3 linked regions of the Alligator mississippiensis genome follow. The protein of the gene in region 1 interacts with the protein of each later gene in a pairwise test. Links are inferred from orthologs where the notes say so. Each region holds a gene or a part of one and is shown in the gene's direction. Other genes may lie near its edges. The genes, in order: HDAC4, CDR2 and SFN.

Region 1 (8,172 bases):
AGTTTTGAACGCTACACAGATTGCCTATACTGCTTATGGAGTGGAGTTGGATAAAAAAAATTCCCTTCTTTCCAGGACCCCCAGGCTAACATGAGTCCATTTAATGTTTCCATGAAAAATGAAAGCAGTTATCAAAAGGAGAATACGACTTTGATGCCATTGTATTTGAGCAACTTCAATTCAGTTCAGTTCAGTTCTGACTATATTTGACTACCAGCTGTGCGGGCCGGGAGTGGTCCGAGGCCCTCGGGGGCGCGTGGTGGGCTGTGGCCAGCAGCCCTGGCACGCGGGTCAGGGAATGCAGGCCGGCGGACTAGAATTAGGCACGGACGCATAGCGGTTGATTAAAGATTATTTTACTTACACCGTAGATGGTCGCGGTGCAGGCAGAAAAACTTGCTTGTGTTGCAGTTACAGACAGGAAAGAAGAAAAGCGGACAAGAGTTCTAAACTCGCGAACTCTAGCCCAATCCGGCTGAAGGCTCTAAAAACGCGAGCCTGTTGTGTCAACTGAAGAAAACAACTTGGAGAAGAGCTCTGGATACACTCACACGAAGTTTGCTGGGCTCCGTGGAACTTGTGCACAGGGAAGGGGTTCATCAAGAGATTGCGCTCGGCGATGGGGAGAGGCCAGAGGTTGATCAGACCCCTATAGCCTTCTTAAGGTACACGCTGGGTCCGTTAGGCTCCGCAGCGCTTAGAGTTCTTCACGAGATGTGAAGTCCTCCTCCTCCAGATGGTTGTGGAGTCCTCCCTTGCGGGGTTCTCCTTGGAGTTCTCCAACTTGGGCGGAAACCGCTCAAGCCTCTTATACAGCTAGCAAGCCAATCGCTAGCCGTCACGAGGGAATAATTTAGAACTGGCCAATAGTGGGACACAAATTTGCATGCGGGTGGCGGGAACTTCTTTGCAACTAAGAAATGCACCTTGCAAAGAAAGCTCCTCGTGGCTGGAAATAATTTAGCAGTGCCGAAGCGCGCACACACAAAATCACACCCTTAGGTTGTGACACCAGCAACACCTCCAACAGTCTGATATGCTTATCTTATTTTGAAAGGATCTAAAGCCTGAAGGATAAAGATTGAACCCTCAGGAGTCCTTTTTGCCTAAACATTTTAGGCACCTGACTTAGCAGTTGTCAACTAACATATCTGCATCATGTGGCGTACAATATTTCAAGCATGTCTTCATATTAGTTCCAAGCATTTTGCAGAATTAAAAAATTCAACAAATGAGAGTGGTGACAACTAATGGACATGGTCAAGCAAGAAACTACATAGTGAAGATCATATAATATACTAGGGTAATTATATTTAGCATATCAAAACCTAAATTATTGCTCATGAAGTGCGAGGAACATAAATACAATGGACACATAGAAATCCTGTTTGCTACTTTAGGAAAAGTATAGTATTTTACCCAGGGTCTTTTAAATACAATCTGGTAGATATTTGATACCATGTGGAGTTGTCCATAGCCATTTTTACAGACGAAATTACCTGAAAAAAGAGGATGTTAAATGCACTCCCGGAGCAGAAGCTCTATTAAGACAGCTCCTGGCAAGAAATGAAGATTTGCTCATCTGCTAGTAACTGAGTGAAATATTATATGTCCAATATATGTTGCAATTCCTACATTACTAATTACTCCAATTCTGTCACAATCTGTACAGCCAAAATTCAGATTTTCCTGAGGTTTACATTATCTGAATTGGCTAAATGTGTATAAAAATGAAAAGCTTCTATAATATGCCAAATGTTGTTAAAACTGAAACAAGTAAATTGTGTTTAAAATGTGTGCAATACATTGCCAAATTGACCTTAATTTAAACCATTATTCATACGTTATTTCCATTTCTTGATAGGGACCAAGGCTTGCAATGTTGCTCAGTTGTCTAAACCAGAAAAACCATTTCCCACATCATATCCTCAATGACACTTTAGGTTGATGAGGTACAACAATAACTTTTTTCATACAAACTCATTGGGCCTTGAAGCTAATGGTAATACTAGCATGTTGTAGAACTGAATAAACGCACAAGGTCTTCAAGGTATCAGGTGACCTCCTCTAAAAGGGAACTAATTACCATGGACAATCTTTTGCCCTTCAGCGCCACCTTCTTTTTTTGACTGGTGCTTCTTTCCTTGGCTGTTTTGTCTTGATTTTCACTTTTCTCACCTCTGGTAGAGTTAGCAACAGCTTTTTGGTCACTGGGGAAAATTTGGAGGGACTAGGTGTAAGCTCCCCACGTTGAGGCAGCATGTAGGTTAGTACGTACTGAAGAGGAAAGCACAGCCGCCACTGCTACGTGCCTTTTGGTAGCAGCCGCTCGCTATTTTGCAGAACACTTTTCATGAATCTGCTTTGTTTTCACCTGCATGTTAGAACTGGAATTGGAGTGAGAAGGTTCTTCCTATGCTTTCCAGGGCAGCTTCCTTCAAGGCAATGCCAGAGACAGGCCTCTAGGGAAAAATTCTGACTCACTTTTTCAGGCTTTGTTTTGAGTGTTTATACAGATATTGTAAGAGCAATGCTACCAGCAGACTACCTTTCAGATCAGGAAAAACCAAATAAGAGTTAAACTCAAATATACCACATACTGGATCAGCCCTGCATGCTCAAATATATGCATGTGTGCACCTGTCTTTGTCCCCCCCATCTCCAACAATTGTTCTCATTTCTCCTCCCAATCCACATTCCCTTAGGGTCATCTGGCTCCTGTCTTTATCATGTGTAAATCCCTTTATATCTATCTATATATGCATGCCACACCTAGATCATCATGCATGCTTAGTCTGTACAAAAAATTTATTCATGTTCCAATTTTCGTTGATCCTTACTCGCTTTGCAACTTCCTTGACTTCTACTAAACCCTACTTTATTCTACATCTATGAATATATGACATGTATTTCCTTCTACCTGTAAATGGAGGTGAAATGGGATGTAGACAAGGGAGAGCAAAGAAGCCAGAGCAAGGAAAAAGTTGCTGAGACCTACCACTCATTTTGAATAGATAAAATGTGTGGAAAGCCTAATTTTAGATGACTGTTTTTTATTGTTTGGAGAAAACACAGCTCCCAGTGGACAGGGCTTCCTCATGTATTTCTTGTAGAAAAAAAGGATGCTTCCTTTTGCATAAAGTTACTTTGTACTTGACAGAAAACACATCACATTAGTTGGGGTTTTCTTTCTCTGCAGGAAGCTTCATCCAAATGCATAAGGCATATCAGTCGTCCTAGATTTCTTCCCCAGAAGGTAAACACTGTCTGACCTCTATCTAGGCGGGAGAGCAGCAGCGACCTCTCCATAGGGAGATCACCTCTTGCAAATTTGAGACCTGTCATACTTCATGCTTTCTTTGGTTCAAGCCTCAGCTCCTGGATTCAGGCATTGGGATGAGTCCCAGCTCTCAAGTAAAGCGAGCTCCAAGGCCTCACAGTGGTGGAGAAAAGCTGGAAACTGAAAGGTGCCAAACCTCACAGTCAACGGCATCATTGAGCATGTGCTGGTTAGAAACAGCACTCTCATGAATGGAGGCATGTGGGACTCCTTAGCTTTGCAATAAGGTTTTGCAGCCTGGGCTGCGCCATCCCTGGAAGTTGATAAAAGGTTGTCAAACCTGCCACACACACATGGTGAGGGAGGGCAGGCTAGGGGTGTGTCTGGGAGGGGTACAGCGGTGCTGTCATGCTGCATGTTGGTTCCTGCTCCACCCAGAGTTTAAAGCCAACTGTCTGGCAGCAGCATTGGCACCTCAGGCAGCAGCTAGGTTGTCAAGCAAATTCACAGCTTATTACAATTTACCTCATCCCGTCTAAACCTGTTCCTAGGTGTTAACAACCCTCTCTCTTCATTAATGGTCTTAATGTTCCCCCAGTCAAGCTGGCCTTTCTTCAGCCACTCTGCCGCCCCAGTCTCTGCCTCTGGCAACTAGGCTGCTCTTTCCCAGCCCTGCGGGTGGTTTGTAACCGACTCCTACGAAGTCCTGTTGGTTTCTGCTTCCACCTGAAACGGGAAACACTGGCCCAGGCCCCTGGCCTACGAGCAGAGCATCTAGTTTCTTTTTATTTGTGGGTAAAGGAAGACCTCTGATGAAGATGGCAGTACAGCACTGGAACAGACACCCCCGAGAGGCGGCGGGCTCTCCATCCTTGGAGGTTTTGAAGCCCTGGCTACACAATGCTGTGGCCAGGACAATCTAGCTGGGGCTGGCTCTGCTCTGAGCAGGAGACAGGCCAGATGTGACCTCCCGTGGTCCCTTCTGGTTCTCATTTTCTATCATTCGAGAGACTGTGCGCCACGTTACACTCGACAGCGCCTTTCACCACCTGTGCCCTTCGCAAAATCCTGGACATGCCCAAGGGGCGCACCATGGGCCACAGCCCCAATGCACCAGGGAAGCCCTGCGGGGGCTCAGCTCAAGCAGCACCCAGGGGCGAAGGCCAGGGAAGCGCTGAGGGACCCTGCCGCCGGGGCGGGTTGGGGGCCTAGTCGAGATGGTGGGGCGGGGACCTGGGCTCAGCGCCAGCCCCTCCCCCGCCGCCCGCACTCCCCGAGGGAGATGGGGCGGGAGCTGCTGCTATAAATAGCCCGCGCGCCGCGATTGGCTGAGGGAAAAAATGGTCGGAGCACGTGACTTTCCAGCTAAAAATTCCAAGATGGCGGATCCCGTCATGGGCTGAGTCCGTTGGTGGCGCGCGCGCCGCTGTGTCAGCGCCAGCCCCCGCCACTGCCCTCCCCGTGACCCGCTCCAGCTCCCGGGGCCCGTGCCCGCCGTCCAGGTCAGTGCCTGCCGCTCGCGCCCTGCCCGCCGCGCCTTGCGCCCGCCTTTGCCCGCAGGCAGCCGCTGCGCGGCCCCTTTAAGACTTCGGGTGTTTCTGTCCTCCGGCTTTGACTTGTAGGAAGGCCGATCCCGGCCGCCGGGCCCTTAAAGGGATCGGTCCCACCCGGCTGTTTTTTTCTCTCTGCTCCGACCGTGAAACGCCGAGGGTCCGGAGGGGGGGCGGGGCGGGGCGGGGCGGGGCCGCGGAGGGGGAAAGGAGAGAGTGATGGACGGACAGCGCATCCAATCCGAGCCATGCGTGTTGCAGTGGCGGGTGCATTTAAGCCGCTCGAAGCTTCGAGCTGGACTCTGATTGCCCGCGACTGGAAACAGGGCGCGGCGGCCGTGGCTGGCCAGTCAGGGCTGGAGGAGCGGGGCCGGGGGTGGGCCTTGGCGAGACAGACGCCTGGCTTGCCCAGTCGGCGCGGAGCGGCGTGGTCCGCCCCCTCGCGGCTTAGCGTGGCCGGGGTTTTTGTGAATGAGGCGGGTGGGGCGGGGGCTGCCGCAAGTCCCGCCCCCCTCTCCCCGGCGCTGCGGCTCCTCCCCCCTCCCCCCCGGAGAGCAGCGCCGCTGCCGCCTCGGTGCTAAGAGCGGCGGGAGCGGGCGCGGGAGGGATGCGGGCAGCGGTGAGTGCGGCCGAGCCGGGCGGGGCCGCGATCCCTGCGGGTGCGGAGCAGCCCTGGGTGATGGGAGGACGGGCGGGCGCGCTTGTCCGTGTGTCTGGCTGCCGCGGGGATGCGCGGGCGGGCGGGCTGGCTGGGTAGGGTCTTGGTCCCCCCCGCTCCGGGCCCGCTCCTTCCCGCCCGCCGGGGCCGGAGCCCGCCCAGTTGTTTACAGTCACGGTCAAAAAGCCTCCGGGTTCAAACCCCATCGGGCTTGTCCCAGGACCCCGCTTCCCCGCAGGGCCGGGCAGGTGGGCTCGCACGAGGTGCCGAAGAGCCTGGAGGGTTTTGGCAGCGGAACTTGTTTTTTCTGCCTCTTCCCGCCGCCGCCTGCAGCAGCTCGTGAAGTGGGTTTGGGGGAGAGGATGCCCGGGGCTACTGGGCATGGTTTAAAAGCGATTTCTAAGGCTGCTGTCACTTGGGGCCCCTGGTTCTTCTTATTTTTAAATGGTTTTTTGCCGGGTGTCAAAGTCACAAAGTCTGTGACTTGGCAAATGCAGGGTTGGGGGGGAGCTTTTTTTTGTTTTTTTTTTGGGTTCTTTTGCTATAGGGGAAAAATATTTGGTGTATTTCATTTCCTCATTGCAAATCCCACTGCCAAGCCAGCCGGGCAGCGTTTTGCTTGTCCACTTGGATGACAAGTGGACAAGCAAATAGCCGCTCTTTGATTGGCAAGCGCCGGCGCAGTTGGCTCAGCCAATAGAGGAAAAAAAACAAAGCTTGTGTTTCAGGTACTGCGTTTTCAAAATGTAGTTGGACTGTTGCAGTGCTGCTGATGTAAAGTGCATAAGAACAGGATTAGGACCCGCTTAGGTTAATGTTTGTAAGCACAGGCTCTTATGGCCTGTGCCTGCCCCCCCCCCCCCCCCCCCCCCCCCGAAATTGCTGTGCAATCAGAAGGGAATTTTACTCTTAACTCTGAAGTGTTGGATTTGTGCAACAATTTTCATGTCATAGTTTTAAAAAAATTAATTATAATGTATTTGGAGCAGAGAGAAGGGAGGTGTTGCTGAGCAGTTGTGTGTGGGTTTATGCTGCAGGAATTCATCAGGAAAGATACTGTGCAACACTTGAGCTTCTTAAATGTTATCTTCGCATTTTTGTGGCATGGCAAATGCAGCATGACATCTTAAGCTTTTTCACTTTTTTACATGCCAGTTTACTTGACATTATACCAGGCTACCTTGTACCATTTGGAGGGTGGTAAACCTGATCCATTTTTTTTTCTTTAAAACCTTTGTAATAGCATTATGTAGCTCATGTACATGCCTGCGTGACACTGAAGGGTTCTTGTTGTTTTAGCAGTTTGTCAATAGATTTGCTGTGACAGCTTTAATGTCAAGGTTTGCAGAAATTAGGCTTGTCACTTAAATTGTTGACTTACTGGATTTAATGGTACATTTATTACCATCAAGTTACTTAGTGGTTTAAGGTGAGGTGAGCTTTAGTAAATTCTGCAGATGATTGGGTTGTCTGTTGAGGTGAATGCCATCTGTATGCCTGGATTCAGGGAACACATTGTCATGCTGGGGGCCACAGACACCAGTTCCTTTCTATGAATTCATCTCCAATATGGCTATCTGCATGGTTTGAGTTCGTTTGGAGACCTAGCAGTATTCCAGTCCCTGCAGTCTCTGCACTCCAGTGTGAGATCCCAGTGACATGCCGAATCTTACGTTGGTCTTCTGCACCATAGGTGAAATTAAATTTTAGTGAAGAAAGCTGCTGGAATATATTCTGATTTACTGCTGTTTTTATAGTGCCAAAAGTGCCTTGCACAGGCTGTGTTTACTACTGTCAAAGTGCTCTTTATTGTGGCCAGTAGCTATCTGAAGTTAATTACCTAAGAAAGAGGAAGCCTCTTTCTAAAAGGCAACGTTTTTTAGAAGTGAAGGAACACCACTAGCATTTATGTAGTAATCTGATTATTATTATTATTATTATTATTATTATTATTATTTTTTATTTTTTTTTTTACAGTATTTCTTTTTTTGTAATATGATCTGGAGCTGCTTTGAGTGTTTAGTTTTTGGTGTTTCAGTTGCTGTTGTAGTTCTCAACCTAAAAGCTATGGTGGTTGATTTGGAGCCTGTCTGAAAGAGTTAAGGGGGCATTGAATTAAGAAAGCTCAGCTGCTTGTATACAAATATACAGCAATTACAAGGCAACAAAGTTATTGCAGAATTCCACTGTAACCATGGCAACATGTTCACTCAATTACATTTCCAAATGTAAAATGCCACCCAGTTAGAGTAAGTTTTAGCAACCACCAGTTTTTGTATAAAACAAAATGTGTAAGAGGCAACCTTTCCAGGTTTTGTGCATTTTCCCATTTGGATGGACATGTGCTTCTTTCCCAATTTCATTTCTTCTTCTTAATTTTGATGTGTTCCCTTATTTTGTGGATGTCTAAAAGCCACTTGCCATCCTCCAGGTCCAGTATTTAATTTTGCTTCTGCATCTTGAGTTGGAAAGATGAAGTGGATTAAGCCAACATAAAACATATATTCTGAGAGTTGCACTGGAATACAAGGTAGACTTGTCAGTTACTTTAATAGGGGGCAGATAGTTAAAATAGGGTTGGTAAATAAAAAATTCAAATTTGAAATGCACTGTTTTGCTGCGTTCAGTGTGAACATACTGGGAGAACTGCGCGTCTGTGGGGCAAGATTTTTCAATAGACTGGT
Region 2 (8,068 bases), on another chromosome or scaffold:
CCTGTCCCATCTACCCAGCCAAGTGCACCCTGCCCACCAGGGATCTCAGCCAGTTTCCATGCAAACCCCAGGCACCCATTCTGTCCGGCGGCCCCAGCAGTGGGTGTGCAGTGGATGGGCCTGGGCTGGTAGGGTCGACTGCCCCCTTGCCCTGCTGGGCCAGTACCCTCCACCCAGCAACAGCTCACCAAAGTGAACCTCCAGCCAAACTAACTACCCACCCCTGAGTTAGTGAAACTATTTCCCAGCTCTTCTAACAGAGGATGTTTTGATATATAAATACAGACGTTCAAAATATTGTGCTTAATTTTTCATTTTACTTGGGGGGGTGAACTAATGCTTGCCAGAAACCAATATTTATAGGTAGTTCACTGTCTAAAAATGTGGACAGGTGCCTAGTCAGATTTTCAAAAGCTTAGATGTCTACTCTCATTAAAATATAAGCATTCTGGCTGTAAGCCACAGACCAGCAAACACTTACATGCAAGTAACTCTGAGCACATAGGCAACCTTACTGAGCTCAACAAGACTCTTCAGGTAAATAAAAGTTATTCACATGAGGAAGGGTCTGAAGCATCACAATGATGATCGATTTTAAGTACATTAGTAATCCCATTTAGACTGAAAACATTATTTCAGTACCATAAAGGCTTTTTTTATTTTTTTTAAACTAAAAGCTATAAACAATGTACACTTAGTGCATCTTTAATTTATGATAAATCAAATATTTCAGTAGGGCAACAATAAATTCATAAACAAAGCAGAATTATTTCAGTGCCATATAAATGTTATACAACACTAATAAAATCAATGTTCCAACATACTGTACCTGAGCTTGATGAAAGGCAATTTCTGAAATCTTGTACTGGTTTAAGAAAAGCTTAACATAGTAGAAATTAAAGATACTATTCATCATTCCAGCACCTAATGTGGTCATGGAATATGCCAGTGCATTAGGATGAATTCCTAAAACAATCTTCATTTTCCAAATTGTGATAGTTTCTTCTTCTGCTTCTAATTTAAAAAAAAAAGTTAACAATTAGATAAGTACCATTACCTGATATTTATAAACTTGCTAACAACACAAGATGGCATATTGTAACATAGAACAACTCCATGTTGCTGGGGACAACCAAGAGAGATTTGCCCATGTCAGGGCTGCAGGCTGGGGTCCCACAAATCTGTATTCAAGGATTTCTTCATTCTCAGTCTCTTTTCTACTTCTAAATGTATTGCAAAACTTTTAAGATTATTGGACCATGAGCACAAACCTAAACAGCTACAGTAGTAATTTATCAATACCATTTCTTAATATATATGCAATGCTTAAATGCCAATAGAACATGTCTAACAAAAATAAAGGGAACTTTTATCATAAGTGGCATAACCCAGTCCTACATCTATGTTAGTGCAAATCCAGCTCCCCAAACCACAGATATTTTACAGATCACTCTTTCTTTCATTAGCTTAAAAACTGTTAAATGAAAAACAGACTAAATAAATTTAATTCATATTGATGGATTACCTTGAGGTATCAATATGTAATAAGCTGCAAATTTAGTTCAGTAATGTTTTTAAAACACATTCTTTTAAACCAATTCACGATGATCATTTTTAGTTTAACGTTAATAATAAAAAACAATGTGGAAGCAAACTTCCAGTTAACAAAATAATTAAAAGACAAAACAGAAACCATTACTTTTGACTAGGAATCTTCTTCATCTCTGTTTTCTCCCTTACTAGTCTTATATTACAAAACTAGAAATTTACATAAAGCATCCTGAAGCTAAACATTATGCTCTGTAGTCACACAGCATGTGAAACATCCCTATGGGGTTCAGCCAAGGACATGCAGAGTTCTTAGCTCAGCACTCTCTAACTTAAGCAGTGTATAGGTGGCCCCATCACACTGTGGGGGTGAGGTGGGAAGTTTCAGAAACTGGCCCCGTATGGATGCTCCGTGAAGTGCTAGTCCTGAAGCTGTGTGCTCTGTGTGTGGGTCCATTTGGCGTGTGCCACCCATTTGGGTGGGTGAATTCAAGACCCAGGGCCAGCAGCTAGATGATGGGGCTCCATGGGTCAGATCCAGCCTGCAGACCAGATTTTTGACATCCCTGATTTAGCATAACACTTAATTATTCTTTTCTAATTCAAGTTAGAAACAAAGGAACAGTTGGGATGAGGTGGAAAATGGAAAGAAGCAAGCCTCCATGGCCCTTTGAAGCTGCTTATATTATTAAATGAAAAGATGACTAAAGGTAGCAATAGTAAAAAGACACAACTTTAAATTTAAGCTTGTTACATGTTCCAAATAAATTCTGTATAATGGCTTTACATTGTTCACTGTATCTGACTTTTCACATACAAATGTGAACAGCTAGATTACTTTTCTCTTTTGAAAATCAATTGGTATTAATAGCTCATTCTAATCCACCTAACCATATGTATATCCTCATTAGCACAACTTCAGATTTCTTCCTAAGAAAGCTGTGCAATCCCTCAATATTTCATAGCACACCAATTCTCAAAAAATATATATTTTAAAGAATATTTGCTAATTTCTGATTTATCCCTTCAGTCACTAGAAATTCTGTCTGTAAATATTAATTTCCACTCACTCTTGGTAGACTAAAGCCACAGGCTGCCCTCAGCAAGATTTCCACATCCTTTTAAACTAAGGGAGGCTGCCATCAGCAAAAACTATCACTTCTCATTGTTCCCGGCATGGCTGAAGATAGGCATTTCTGGGGAAGATGATGACCTTTAGTTACCACACAAAGTCCAGGAAACCTGCATAGAGTATGAGTAGACAGCTGCCTAGCTTGTCTACAGATGGTACAGAGTAGCAGCTCTCCAGAAGCAGTAAGTTAAATGTTTCTAGCTGGACACAAAGTGGAGTGTAGCCACGTGGTATGTGGCGCTCCAGATACATCCATGGCACCACATACTATACATTCAATTGTTCTCCTCCCTGCAAGAGAGCAGCGTGGAGGTTTTTTTGGACCCCTGGATATGCACACACGGTGGCAATGGGAGCCACCTAAAGCTGGAGCTGTGCTCTGCTGCCAGCCAGGCTCTGCATGGCAGAAGTAACATGACTGCAGCCCCTGCAGGCCCCCAGTCTCCCCTACCCCGCCATGGGTAACTTGTGCCAGAGCACGCGTGACAGCTAGCAACCCCACACAGTATCCTGCTGCTAGTTGTCCCTGGGGAACCAAACATTCACACACATCTGGACATGGCCAAAATGTGTTAACGCGTCTTTATTTTATACTGGTTTTGTACAATGGTGTGAATTAGCCTGAAGTAGTTGCTGTTACAGCACCTAATCACTAGGTGGGAAGATGAGCACATCATAACCTGCGTGCATTGAGCAGTCTACCCTGGGATAATTGCAAACATACTTTACTTCCACCAGCCTGTTTTTATTCATTTTTTTTCCTGGGGTAGCTTTACACCATGTTCTAGTAAGCTGCACCGCTACAGGGGTTTCCAGTGTGCCTGCTTTTTTTTTTTTTTTTTTGCACCAGTAAGAGGCAATTTATACTTGTGCAATCATGTTGGGCATCCAAACCTTAGGGGCAGATGCTCCCCGCTCAAGGTGAAAAAAAAGTCAGCCAGGCACAAAGTTAACCTGAGCCAAAGAAATAAATACAAGCATTTGTGAGTCACTGCTGGTTTTTGTGCATACTTTTTTTTTTTTTTTTTAAAGAGCCTGGCTCATGATTTCCGGATGTTTGGATAGGCAACACTGCATGCTTTTTGCAGAGTCTTTAAAAAAAACCAACAACATACTAGGTTCTGCAATATTAGGTGGGCTGCAAACTGCATAGCAGCCTTTGCCTTCAGAAGTGAGCTCTAAAGAAGACTATCTACGGGAACCCTCTCACGTTACACTCGACTCTCATCACATCGGACCCACAGACTGCCCTGGATCCTCCTCCAGAACAGGAGAGCGACTGGGTTGCACGATCCCATCCCGGGAAATCTCCTTTGCTCCTGCACAAATCCTTCCTGCTTCCTGCAAGCGGGTGCTGCCGCCGCGCTGCCTCGCGAACAGGCCGGCAGCAGCGCGGGGTCCGCAAGAGCCGCTCGGGCCTCCTCTCAGGGACGGCCTCCCCTGGCCCCCGCACCCCAACGGGGCCAGCCCAGGCGGCTTCGCCTGGCCCTTCCGACGCCCCCTCTCCCAAAGCGGGAGGCGGCTGCGGGCCATGGGGGAGGCGAGGGGCACAGCGGGGCGGCCAGGGAAACAAAGCCCCGGGAGCTGCCTGTGTAGCGAGGGGCGTTGTCACCTCGCCTAGCCCCCGACACGCCGGAGCCCCGGACACCGCCCCGCCGCCATGGCAACCCCGCCTGCCCCCCGCCGCACTAACCGCGCGCCTCCTCCCTCAGCCTGGAGCCTGCGCAACAACCGCGGGGGCGGGGACGTCGTGCGCCCCACCCCGCAGCCTATTGGAGATGCGGAAGATCCCGGCGCGTGATTGGCCCGCGTTCCCGTCGGTCTGCGAGCCGCGGCGCACGATTGGCTGCGCGCCGCGAGGTGGGCGAGCCGGGTTTGAATTGCTCTCGGGAGGGAGGTCGGTTGCCGCTGCCACGTTGCCGCCGCTGGCGGCTCTGCCCTGCCGGCGCCGCGCTCGGCAGCGTCCGGAACCGCTCGGCAGCGTCCGGAGGCAGCTCTGAAGGGAGCGTCGGGGCCGGCGGGTCGGGGCGCGATGCTGGCCGACAGCTTGGTGGAGGAGTTCGAGCTCCGCGAGGATGAACCGTGGTACGACCAGCAGGACCTGCAGCAAGGTGAGGCCGCCCGCGCCGGCGGCACCCGCCGCTGCCCGCGCCCGAGCAGCTGCCGCCTCCCGCACCTGCGAGGGCCGCCGGGGCGGAGGAGGAGACCGGCTCTGCGCTCCCCTAGCCTGCTCGTGCCGCGCGGACCGTCCTGCCCCGCCCGCCCGCCGTCCTGGGCACGAGCACAGCACCTGCGCGCCGGGGCTTCCTTCAGAAACTTCCCTGCGGGGCATGAACTAGGATCCGCCCCGGAGAAACGCGGGGGAAAAACCACTAGAAGCTGATGCTGCGGGACCAGGGATGTGGTGTCGAGCCTTCCCTTGTCTCCAGTTCTCGGGGCGCTTGGAAGCATCCCCTCCTTACTTGGCGATTTGGCAGAATAACGTCTGTGTATTTAACAGAAGCGCGTTACTTAGTTTCTTTTCTAATATGCCATTAGGTGCCACACAGGCTGACCCACATCAACGCTGGGATGGGAGAGGTTCAACCAAGGGTTGCCAACTCTCGTGATTTTTGGCATTGCTCTTCAAGTCTATGTTCCGGGAACGTGAAAAACGTAGCTCTTTCTTTTATTCATATTTATCTGCCTATAAGAAGGAGCTGGGTTTTTTTGCATTCCCAAAGCGCAGACTTTAACAACAACGCCAACGCTCATGAGAGTAGCTTTTTAAAAGATTAATTCTTACAACTTGAAAACCCGCCCGAACCATCTAATTTCAGAGTCTACCATCTTTGACTCTTGTGCCCAAGAAGAAAACAAAGTTTTGGCTGGGGTGTTATGACCCCGCACTCGTTCCTGCCTGGGGCAGGGGTTCGGACCTGATGATCTGTTTAGGTCCCTTCCAACCCTAACAACAATGAAAATTTCACCTGGGGGGGAAATGGAGTTTAATATCTAGTCCCTTTTTATTAAGAAAAAAAGTATGGAAATGACTTTTCTGTTTGCTGGGAGATTCAAGAATGGTAAACAGCAACTTCCTACATCAGATATATGTTTTGGTGCCCTGCTGAAAAAAATTCATGCATGCTAGGAAAATGGCCACCAGCTTCAACAAAGTGTTGACTAGATCACAACCTAAAATGAAAAATAAATGCACAATTCAGAGACTCTTCTAAGACTTGTTTAGAAGTAAGGCTCGTGAACTAAATATTCACAAGGGCTAATCAGTGTATACCATATTGCTTAATAATCTCTTGTTGAAAGGAATGGGCACAACTTACTGCACAATTATCTTGGGTGGATTATTAAAACGTAGGAGCAGGACGCTGGCAACATTATCTTGATGTTTGGTTGCCCAGTTGTAATAACACCTTCAGCAAGGTTTGTACAAGTGTCATGAAGAGATGATTGCTTAGGGAGAACAGGACTTCCAAGTCTGCAGTTTCCAGACATAACAGTTAAACCTAACAAATCTAGACTGATCTGCCAAAATCTTGCTTGCATATTGTACTTTCAGGGACAAGGTGTAAAGTGACTAAACTTGTATTGGCCATTCACGACTGTTCAGGGACTATTCTCATGGTGAAAAGGGAACTTCTTAAATATCTGACCGAGATATTAACCAGCATATTGCCAAAATGTATTCAAGATCACAAAATAAAATGGAATGCAGAAAGATAAGCTTCTGTACTACACTGAAGTTTCAGATGGTCTTTCATTGTTTTTATCCTTATTCAGCTGGTTAGCTATATTCTGTTGTTTACTTGCACACTTGCTTTTATTGCACCTTGAACTCTGAAGGAACATATCAGGCTGCATAGTTTTGTCACCAGCCAAACTCTAAAACTCTGCAGGTGAGGTCAGGTTCATGAAAGCTCACACTGTTTTTCTGGTTTAGTTTGTCTATAGGGTGTAAATCTACCCTGCCTTCTGCTTGACTTCAGACTAACGTGGCAAACCTACCTCTCCAAATTCCCTTAGATGTTAACAAAAGCAGTGTCTGAATACGTCACATTAAATTAATTTAAAAAATGAACACCCTTTAATTCATGCACTAGTAGCCTAACCACCTTTGAAAGCATTGAACACTTTCAGCTCTTCTTGAAACCAAGACTTATCAGTGCCTTAATGTAATTAAAATCAGCACATTGGAAAGCAAATTCTTTCTGCAGTACTTAATGCTCTTAGTTTTAGATGAGACCAAAATTTTATTTTAAGACAAGGTTTACTTTCACATTTGAGTGATTCTGCCTATCATATAGAAACCAATTTCTTCTCTGTCAAGAATAGCAAATTTTTCACATAAGGAAAACATGAATGCTGCTTTGGAACTGCCAAAATAACAGACTACATTTAAGTCTGTAGCATGAGCATCTAAATAAAAGATGGAATCGTACTGTACTCCTTTTGTATTGCTTCATGCTCAGAGTGCTTTGTAAACACAAATATCACACTACCAATATTACACACTAACAGGAAATTACATGCACGGTTTCATTCCTTCCAGTTTTCTAAATACTTTCTTCTCAATTGGTTAGATCTCTTAAGCATATTTTAAATACTTGGTTTTGGCTCTTAAGTCATTTTACAAGTTATGTATGCAGTTGCGTGTCTTTAATAGAATCGTACTACTTGCCTGAAGCATTGAGTCTTAAGTATACCTTGGTATGCTTAGCAACATTTAAGGCAACAAAAATAGCATGAGTTATTGGACGGCTTTAATAAAGATGGCTGATGACCAGCTAAATTTAGTATGTTGTGTGGAATTAGAAAGTCTTAAGTAGGATTGTAATTTATGTAAAGGATTACAGAATCACTGAAGCTGTAGACAGCAATAGGTACTACAGAGCAAGATGTGGAAAAACATGGTTTGGTTTAGGACTTCTTAGTAGACAGGCAAAAAACTCATACTTGCTGCTTTCTAATACAGACTAAGTAGGTAAGATAACATGTAGCAACAAGAGGTCTTAGACAGAATTGGCAGACTGGGAGACTTGTAGAAAGCCGAGGAAAGGAAATGGAGCTACATTTGCACTTAAATAGATGCAAGACCAAAACTAAATGCATGGGGGGAGGAGGGAAGGAATACCAAAGCAAGAATGCTTAAGTCTCTTTCTTTACATTAGGATGTACAAGATGCCTTTGTGCCTAAACACAGCTAACTCACAGATAGCTTTTGTTGGGAGAGAGGACAACTGATTTTCTTAAATAAAGAGCCATTTAAGCTGATAACTTAAAAAATGAGGAATTTGTTTCATGCCACTGAAACCTGCAATGCAAGACCTCTTTTTCTCAGGTGTCTAAATCGCATTGGAAGGAACACTACGTTCTCCTTGGCTTGTCCTTCCT
Region 3 (7,454 bases), on another chromosome or scaffold:
CTGCCATGCACAAGGGGAAGCCTCTCCAAGCCCCCACCAGGAGCCGGCGCACTCTGCTGTCCTGTGGGTTTGAAGCTTAAAGCCATAAAACCACCTGCTCCGAGTGCAATAACTAGAGTATCTACTGTCTCCTGCTGCCAGAAACACTTGCGCTACTGAGCTGAGGCTGTAGGTGGCTGCCTGCGACTAGCCTTACTCTGCAGTGAAGCATCTCCCCTTCGGTCAGTCCCAGAAGATGTCAGTAGTTATTAGTCAAGCAGCTCCTCTGAACTTAACAGGCTTAGTGCAGCGTTTGCAGCAGGGACACGGGCTGGTAGTTGCTGGCTGTGCTGGCCAACACCCTCCCCAAGCTGCCTTCCTGGCGCACGCAGCCCGAGGCCCCGTCTCGCTGGCAGTCCGTGCGCTCCGAGGTCACCTTTCAGGCAGCGCTCGCCAGTAAGCCCAGCGTTTTCCGCTGTCTTAGGGCAGCTCCCGTTCTCAGGGAAGGGAGTAGAGCGCAGCAGCAGCTTGCCTAGCGTCCGTCCCTGTCCAGCCTCTTCCCCCTGCTACTGCAGTCAGCGTTACCGGGAGCCTGTGCCTAGCAGCAAATGCACTAACGCTCTGGCCACTAGCAAACCGGGTGCGAGGCTTTACAAAGCAGCTAGTGCGAGACGGCCCAGCCCCTGCCTCCTGCCAGCCCCGCACAGGCCGGGGGACTGGAACCGCGTCAGGCCTTTTACTTTTGTAACACAATAAAGTCTCTCCTATTTACTGTACCCGGACCCCTGGCTTTTGTTCCTCCAGGAAGGTGTGCCCCTTCTCTGCCGCTCGTGACTGCACACGTGTTCCCTGGGGGGAGGTGGGGTGTGAATGAGAAGTCTCCTGCTCAGTGATTTCAGGCTGCAAGCCAGGAATATCTAGCTCCCTGGGCTGCTGTGCGCTGGTCCCAGCCACCCGGAGCCTGGCTAGGTGCAAGTGTCAGGTGCTGAGCTTTGCCACTTGTTCAGGCCTCATCCCTGTGAAACCCCAGGTGCTCCCAGTCAGCTCAGAGCCAGGCTGGGTCTTCCTGGAAACCGGATGCAGGGTGAGCTGCACCTGGGAATCAGTCCGCCTTTTTTTCCCCCAAACTACCTGCGTGCTCAGTGCAGGGAGAGAAGGCGGGGGAGGAGGGGTGAGGGGCTGCTGGTTTTGTTGCTTCAGACCCAGGTGTATCTATTTAACTCATCCAACTATCTTGCTGGGATCATTTGACCCCCTGCTGCCTACCTGCCCTTTGGGCAGGGGCTTGGACCCAATGATTTTGCCAGGTCCCTTCAAGCCCTAATGTCTATGAACTGAAATCGGTGACACTGGGGACAGGTGTCTCCAGCTGCTTCCTTCTCAACTGCCCTGTTGCAAAGTTGCTGGTGGACCCGAGAGCTGCAGTTTCGTATAACTGTGGCAAGGGGCTGATCTGTCCAGAGAGGAGCGAGGGTGGGTCAAGAGCAGCAGGGGAAGCCGTGTTGCATGCTGCCGGGGAGCCTGGCACGTCGCAGGACTGAGGGGTGGGTGCAGCAAGGCGCGGCGGGGCTGCGGGCCTTCCAGCCAGGGCGGGAGGGAGTGAGTAGGAAGCCTGTTGTGTTAATGCCAGAGCGGGTCTGCAGCTCTGGCTGTCGGTGCTCGGAGCTGGCCTGATCCACGGGCCCCACTGAATGTCATCACCGCCACGGGGCGTAGCCTGGCCCGCCTCTGCGCACACATCTGTGCACAAACTGGGTCAATTTGTTGGGCACCTTCTTGATGCGTTTGCTGCCGCTTATTGTTCCCGTTCATGCTGAGCTGTTTGTGAAGGGCGTGCCCCAGTCTGGTCCATGCGCTGCCCGGGATGAGAAGGTGAAGTGGGGCCAGCCCAGGCCAAGCCCATCTTGTCATGCTGAGCCCTGTGCCATCCTGGCCCCGTTCTTCCTGCCACGTGCGCCCAGCGACTCGCGTTGGCCTCAGAGGGGAGGGACGGGAAGGCGAGTTGACCAGCTCCAGGCCCGAGAGCCCCTTTTCTTCAGGGTTAACTTGATCCTCTGCTAAAATGGAGGCTTCTGAACAGCTCCTCTGGGTTAGGTCCAGTTCCACCAGCCGGGAGGCAGACGCGTGTGGCAGCATCGGCACTGGCTGCCGGACTGCAGCGGGGCCCTTCCTTTTCCCACGGCAGCGCCACGGCTTTTCTCAGAGCAAACAGGGACACAGATCAGGAAGGAGCTAATTCCTCCCTCCAGCCAGGGAAGAGAGACTGGGGCTCACCCATGCTTGTTCCTTACCTCTCCGCTGGGCTTGGGAGCAGACAGGCTTGCTCAGTTTAATTCTCCAGCGCCGAATGCAGCAAGCATGTGCCCTGCCGCGAGGCCCCTGGTGCAGCGAAGGGATCGCAGAGCTGCCTGAAGGAAAGGCGCCTCGCCTGCCTCCTCTTCAGTCAGCTGCACAGGGCAGGAGGCTGCGCAGACCCTACCGCGCGGCGGGCGAGCCCCCAAAGGGGAAGCAAACCTGGGGGGACATTCACACCTGGGAAGGAATGACGCGGCTGTGGCTAGAGCACGTAGGCACCCACCACGTGGCCTGGCATCCCCTCTGACAGCCCGCAGGCTGCTCCCCCCATAGAGAGCCTGGCACCTGCCGGGTGCTACTTGCCGGCATCTCTTTTGGAAACACTCATTGCTGGTTCCAGCGCACGGCTACTTGGGCGCCTGCAGCACCAGGGTCCCCGTCACCCCCATGGGGCCCCAGTGCAGCATTCAGGCCCCAGAGACGGGGGGACACGGGACAGGGAGTGCAGCACTAGGTGGGACCTGGGAGAACTGGGTTAAAGCCCTGCTCTGACACACATTTCATGCATGAGCTCGGGCGAGTCCCTTTGGCACCAGGCTGCGGTGTTGGGCCGTGGGAGCTGCGTGTGGAAATCTCTCGCAGGTTCTGGGCCTCGGTGCCCGTCTGTGTGACAGCAGGGATCGCTGTGCTGCCCGCTCTGCCCCGGGGTGCCGGGAGGGGCTCAGATCCCTTGGTAATAATTACTCAGGGAGCGGGGAAGGCCTCTAAGCTAATTGCACCCATTGCACCCAGGAAAGCTAAGCACACGTCACGGGGCTCAGCCTCCCCTGGCTCATCCAGGAGGGATTCAGCGCTGTAGCTAGGTCACGGCATTCCCCTCAAATCAGCAGCGAGCTGGTCTGATCTCACTGGGGTGTCACCGGGGCCTTTCAGCAGAGAAGGGCTCAGACGTCAGCTGGGGGGAGACAATCCAGGGCTCTGCGCACGGATGAGTAGCGCCGTGAGTCACGCAGCCAGAACAATTCCTCGGCGCAGTGGGACAGCTGAGTTGCCAGCCCCACCCTCCCCGCAGCGGATAACGTGGAGGATTAGCGCAATGAGTTTGTCACGCCGCGTCCTGGCAGCAGCAGAAAGGAGCAGTCGGCTCCCAGCAAGTGGGAACAAGCTTAATCAGTCTGAGAGTGAAACTGCAGCGTAACTGGAGGAGGAGATTCTAATCAGGGCACATCACGGCGAGAGGCAGCGCAGCGCCGCAGACGGTCCCTTTTCCCTATTTCATCAAAGAGGCTTTGAGCCGGGCCGGTAGCAAAGCGAGAAACCATTGGCTTCTCGGCAGAAGCCGCTGTCCCTGCCTCGCACGCAAGGCCCTGGGGCAGGATGCTGGCTTTGGGAGCCACCAGGCTCTTGCGCTAGTGGCCCTGCGGGCCGGATAGAATAGCCTGGCGAGCCGCACCTGGCCCCTGGGCTGCATTTTCCAATCCCTGCCCTGGACGGTCTAAGATGGGCCTGGACACCCGCTTCCCCCACGCCCATTTGCTCCCTGCACGGAGCCACATGCACCCACCTCTGGTACACAGGCTGGGCTGTCCAAGGCGCTGTCCCTCCCGAAGGAGGAGGATAAAGCATCTTAGTGTTGAAGCAGTCCCCAAAACTAGAGCAAACGGACTGGGGTGACCCTATTCAGTCACACGCTCCTGGTTTGCTCCTCTCCTCTATAGGCAGCTTTATTCTCAGGGTAGAAGAGATGAGCGCAGCATGACTGGTGTCTTATGCCCTGCCTGTTGCCCACAAACCTTCCCCCTTTCCCCTGGAGGAAGGCCACATGCTTCTCAAGGCTTTTTGAGCCGGTGCTGTCATGCAAGTCTGCTCACGGGCCCAGCAGAAGAGGGCATCGAGCTTACTGGGGGGGGGATGTGATGTGATCTGAGCGCAGCAGCGGGAGCCGAAGCTCGTGCAGTCTTAGTCCACCTATAAAACAAGCCCTCTCTGCACTTAGAGAAGTCACTTGTTCTCTCTGCCTCGGTTTCCCCGGCTGCACAAAGACCCAGCTCCCAGAGGAACGAGCCCTTTTGGTATTTGAAGTGGCTGCATCGTGTTAGCTTTCTGCGGTCAGACAAGGTATGTCTCATCAGGCTGAAGCTGCATAGCCGCTCGCTGCTGGGGAGCTAGGGGTGCTAAGCAGAGACCATCTGCACCTGGCAGAGGGGGCAGCTAAAGTCCCCCGGCAGTGAAAGATTTCCTGGCATCTGAAATGGGGGTTAGATCTGCTTGGTCCTCCCTGAGGGCTGATCTCGCTTGAGCAGCGGAGCAAGGCTCCCACGGCCGAAAGAGCCCATCTCTAGGTGCGTGTCCAGCCAGGATGCTCTCCGACCACCTAGAAAGGGTGAGGCGACAGGCCGGGTGGGGCAGGGCGGGGGGCACAGTGCCGGAGCCGGGAGTGCAGAGGCCAGCCTGTGATTGGCAGGCGGCAGGGTGGAGGCCTTGCTGGACCTGGATGTCTCCTCCCTTCGCTGGCACATGGTTAGTGAGCTCCCAGGTGAGTCACTGCCGTTTGCCTTTTAAGGAGCTGCCCGGCTAGGAGGAAGTAGAGGAGGGGCTCAGCCAGGCTTCTCAGCGGCACCCAGCCCTTGCTCCAGGCTCAGACGCTCAGCCAAAAGCAAATCCCGTCCGCGGCACCGAGACAGACTTTGAGGGCTCCCAGGACAACCGCCTGCTCCTTCTCCAACCAGCAGCGCTCCCAGCCATGGCACGAAACCACCAGGTGCAGAAAGCCAAGCTGGCCGAGCAGGCCGAGCGCTACGAGGACATGGCCGACTTCATGAAGGCCGTGGTGGAGCACGGGGACGAGCTGTCCAACGAGGAGCGCAACCTCCTCTCGGTCGCCTACAAGAACGTGGTGGGGTGCCAGCGCTCGGCCTGGAGGGTCGTCTCCAGCATCGAGCACAAGACCGAGGAAGGCGACGACAAAGCGCAGCTGGTGAACGAGTACCGGGAGAAGATCGAGGGCGAGCTGAAGAACGTCTGCAACGTCGTGCTCGGGCTGCTGGACAAGCATCTCATCGCGGAAGCCAGCGATCCGGAGAGCAAGGTCTTCTACCTGAAGATGAAGGGAGACTACTTCCGATACCTGGCTGAGGTGGCCACGGGGGATGACCGCAAAGACGCCATAGACAATGCCCAGAAAGCCTACCAGGAGGCCATGGACATCAGCAAGAAGGAGATGCAGCCCACGAACCCCATCCGCCTGGGGCTGGCCCTCAACTTCTCCGTGTTCCACTACGAGATCGCCAACGCCCCCGAGCAGGCCATCACGCTGGCCAAGACCACCTTCGACGAAGCCATGGGCGACCTGCACACGCTCAACGAAGACTCCTACAAGGACAGCACCCTCATCATGCAGCTGCTCAGGGACAACCTCACGTTATGGACAGCCGAGTGCGCGGGAGAAGATGGCGGCGAAGCCGGGGAAGAGCCCAAGAACTGAACCGCGGCCCGGCGAGCTCCCCACCTCTCGGCCCCTTTTTGGCAGACGTGTCTCGGCTCCACAGCCCGGATCCTGCTAGCAGAGGGGACGTGCCCGCGCGTATGGTATTCGCACATTTTATCTTGCCTTCCCCCGAGGCAGCTTCGGGACAAAACCCCCTTCCCCGGCCCCATCCCGATTTCCACGATACCCCTGGTGGGTGGTTGTTGCTACAGAAGAGCGCTGCTAACTCGGTGTCCTGCCCAGCGTCCTGTATGCTATTGTTAGCATGGGGGGTGTGTATGGAAGGGGGCATCTTAGGCCCCCCCCACCCGCACCCCTTTGCAAAGGGCTGAAGGGTCCCCACTCTTCAGGGCGTTTAAGCAGGGGAATCTGAGGAGCTGGGAACCTGGCCATCGCTCCTGCGGCGTGCTGTGCGGGGTCCCTGTCGCCGCTGCCATGAGCCTTGGTGGGAGAAAGCTGGAGGTGAGGGGCCTGGGGAGGGATTCTTTCTTGCGGGTTAAGAATGATAAACTCGTGGTGCTGCCTGTGTCTGTATTGCCATAGCCGCTGTCTGCCTGTCCCTGCCAATAAAACTTCACCTGCCCCCTGCCTCGGTCGTCCTGGTCGTTACTCTTTGCTGGGCCTGGTGCTGTGGAAGCGGCTGGGTGCAGCCCGTGCCCCCTGGCACATGCCTCTCTGCTGCTGGGTAGGGGCGAGGGGGTTCCAGCTGTGCACATGTCTCGGCACGGCACAGGCCCGGGGCTTTTCCAGGCAGGCTTGTGCATGCCAGGCTGCCTGTCAGTGCGGGTAGCGGGGTGGGGGCGCGGGGAGAGGAGCGAGGTGCCGCAGGGCAGGCCTCGGCAGGAGGCAAGGACCCCACCAGAGCCGCACAGCGGGCGATCCGGTTACAGCGACGAGGGGATGGGGGAGCAGAGCCTTCCTGGGCCTCCGGTGTCTCGGTTCTGGGTAAGCAGGACTCCTGCCCCCGCCTCCAGGGCCGCTATCGGTTGCTTTTGTCCAGCCCGTTGTCCGCCCCAAGCACCATGTGCACATACAGGCCCATGCACACGTGTGCAGGCACCTACATGCATACACACGCCCCACAAAGCTTCTCCCACTAACGTGGCTTTTAAAAGCTGCCGTTTCTCTTGTTTCCTGCGCAGAGCCCGGTCTCCAGAGAAGGGCTCCTCCACCCAGGGCTGACGGCGCCCTGTGACGCGGGGGCTCCGGGGGCTGAGGGTGGCTGCAGCCCTGGACCGAGGCAGCAGAAGCTACAAGCTACAGTCCTAAACCTTCTGCAAAACTCCAGCCAGGCTGGACTTCCCTTGGGTGCAGTATGGAAGTAAAGATGCTCGCAGGAGCTAGGTCTACATCAGAGAGGGGGCAGAGGAGTTGCATCTTCCCAGGATCCCCAGTGGGTCCAGGTGAGCAAGACTTCTGCCCCCACCCCTCTAGGGAACAGTGCCCGTTGCTTTCCTGGGGGCCGCAGCCACCCCAGCACCAGGGGCTGCCCCGTGATCGGTGGGCTCATGCAGGGACTGGGCTGGATACCAGTCTGGGCTGCAGACAGCAGCGGAGACCACATGCAGGGGCAGGCTCACGCCAGCTCCCAGCCCCGCTCGGCGTGGAGGAACATCTCTGTTTGACAGCGCATGGCAGCATTACACAACAGGCCGGGGCGGGAGGTGTCATGCCTAGCTGGAAACGAAGGGCA

What was found.
Region 2: the proteins of HDAC4 (region 1) and CDR2 interact in binary tests that used the Homo sapiens proteins (3 or more experiments, as listed by UniProt). The two-hybrid records come from large-scale screens. The link is inferred for Alligator mississippiensis from reciprocal best matches to the Homo sapiens genes HDAC4 and CDR2.
Region 3: the proteins of HDAC4 (region 1) and SFN interact in binary tests that used the Homo sapiens proteins (3 or more experiments, as listed by UniProt). The link is inferred for Alligator mississippiensis from reciprocal best matches to the Homo sapiens genes HDAC4 and SFN.

What each region holds. Positions count from the first base shown.
Region 1 is NC_081827.1:182,299,630-182,307,801, forward strand, and holds the start of HDAC4 (histone deacetylase 4), read left to right. Parts: upstream 1-4,609; 5' UTR 4,610-4,782; intron 4,783-5,370; exon of another isoform or gene 5,371-5,449; intron 5,450-8,172. UniProt on the Homo sapiens protein: Responsible for the deacetylation of lysine residues on the N-terminal part of the core histones (H2A, H2B, H3 and H4).
Region 2 is NC_081836.1:46,673,801-46,681,868, reverse strand, and holds the start of CDR2 (cerebellar degeneration-related protein 2), read left to right. Parts: upstream 1-4,596; 5' UTR 4,597-4,712; coding exon 4,713-4,791; intron 4,792-8,068. Other genes in the region: transmembrane protein 180, read right to left, coding at 830-982.
Region 3 is NC_081829.1:2,829,226-2,836,679, reverse strand, and holds SFN (14-3-3 protein sigma), read left to right. Parts: upstream 1-4,857; 5' UTR 4,858-5,017; coding exon 5,018-5,758; 3' UTR 5,759-6,349; downstream 6,350-7,454. Other genes in the region: palmitoyltransferase ZDHHC18, read left to right, coding at 1-73. UniProt on the Homo sapiens protein: Adapter protein implicated in the regulation of a large spectrum of both general and specialized signaling pathways. Binds to a large number of partners, usually by recognition of a phosphoserine or phosphothreonine motif.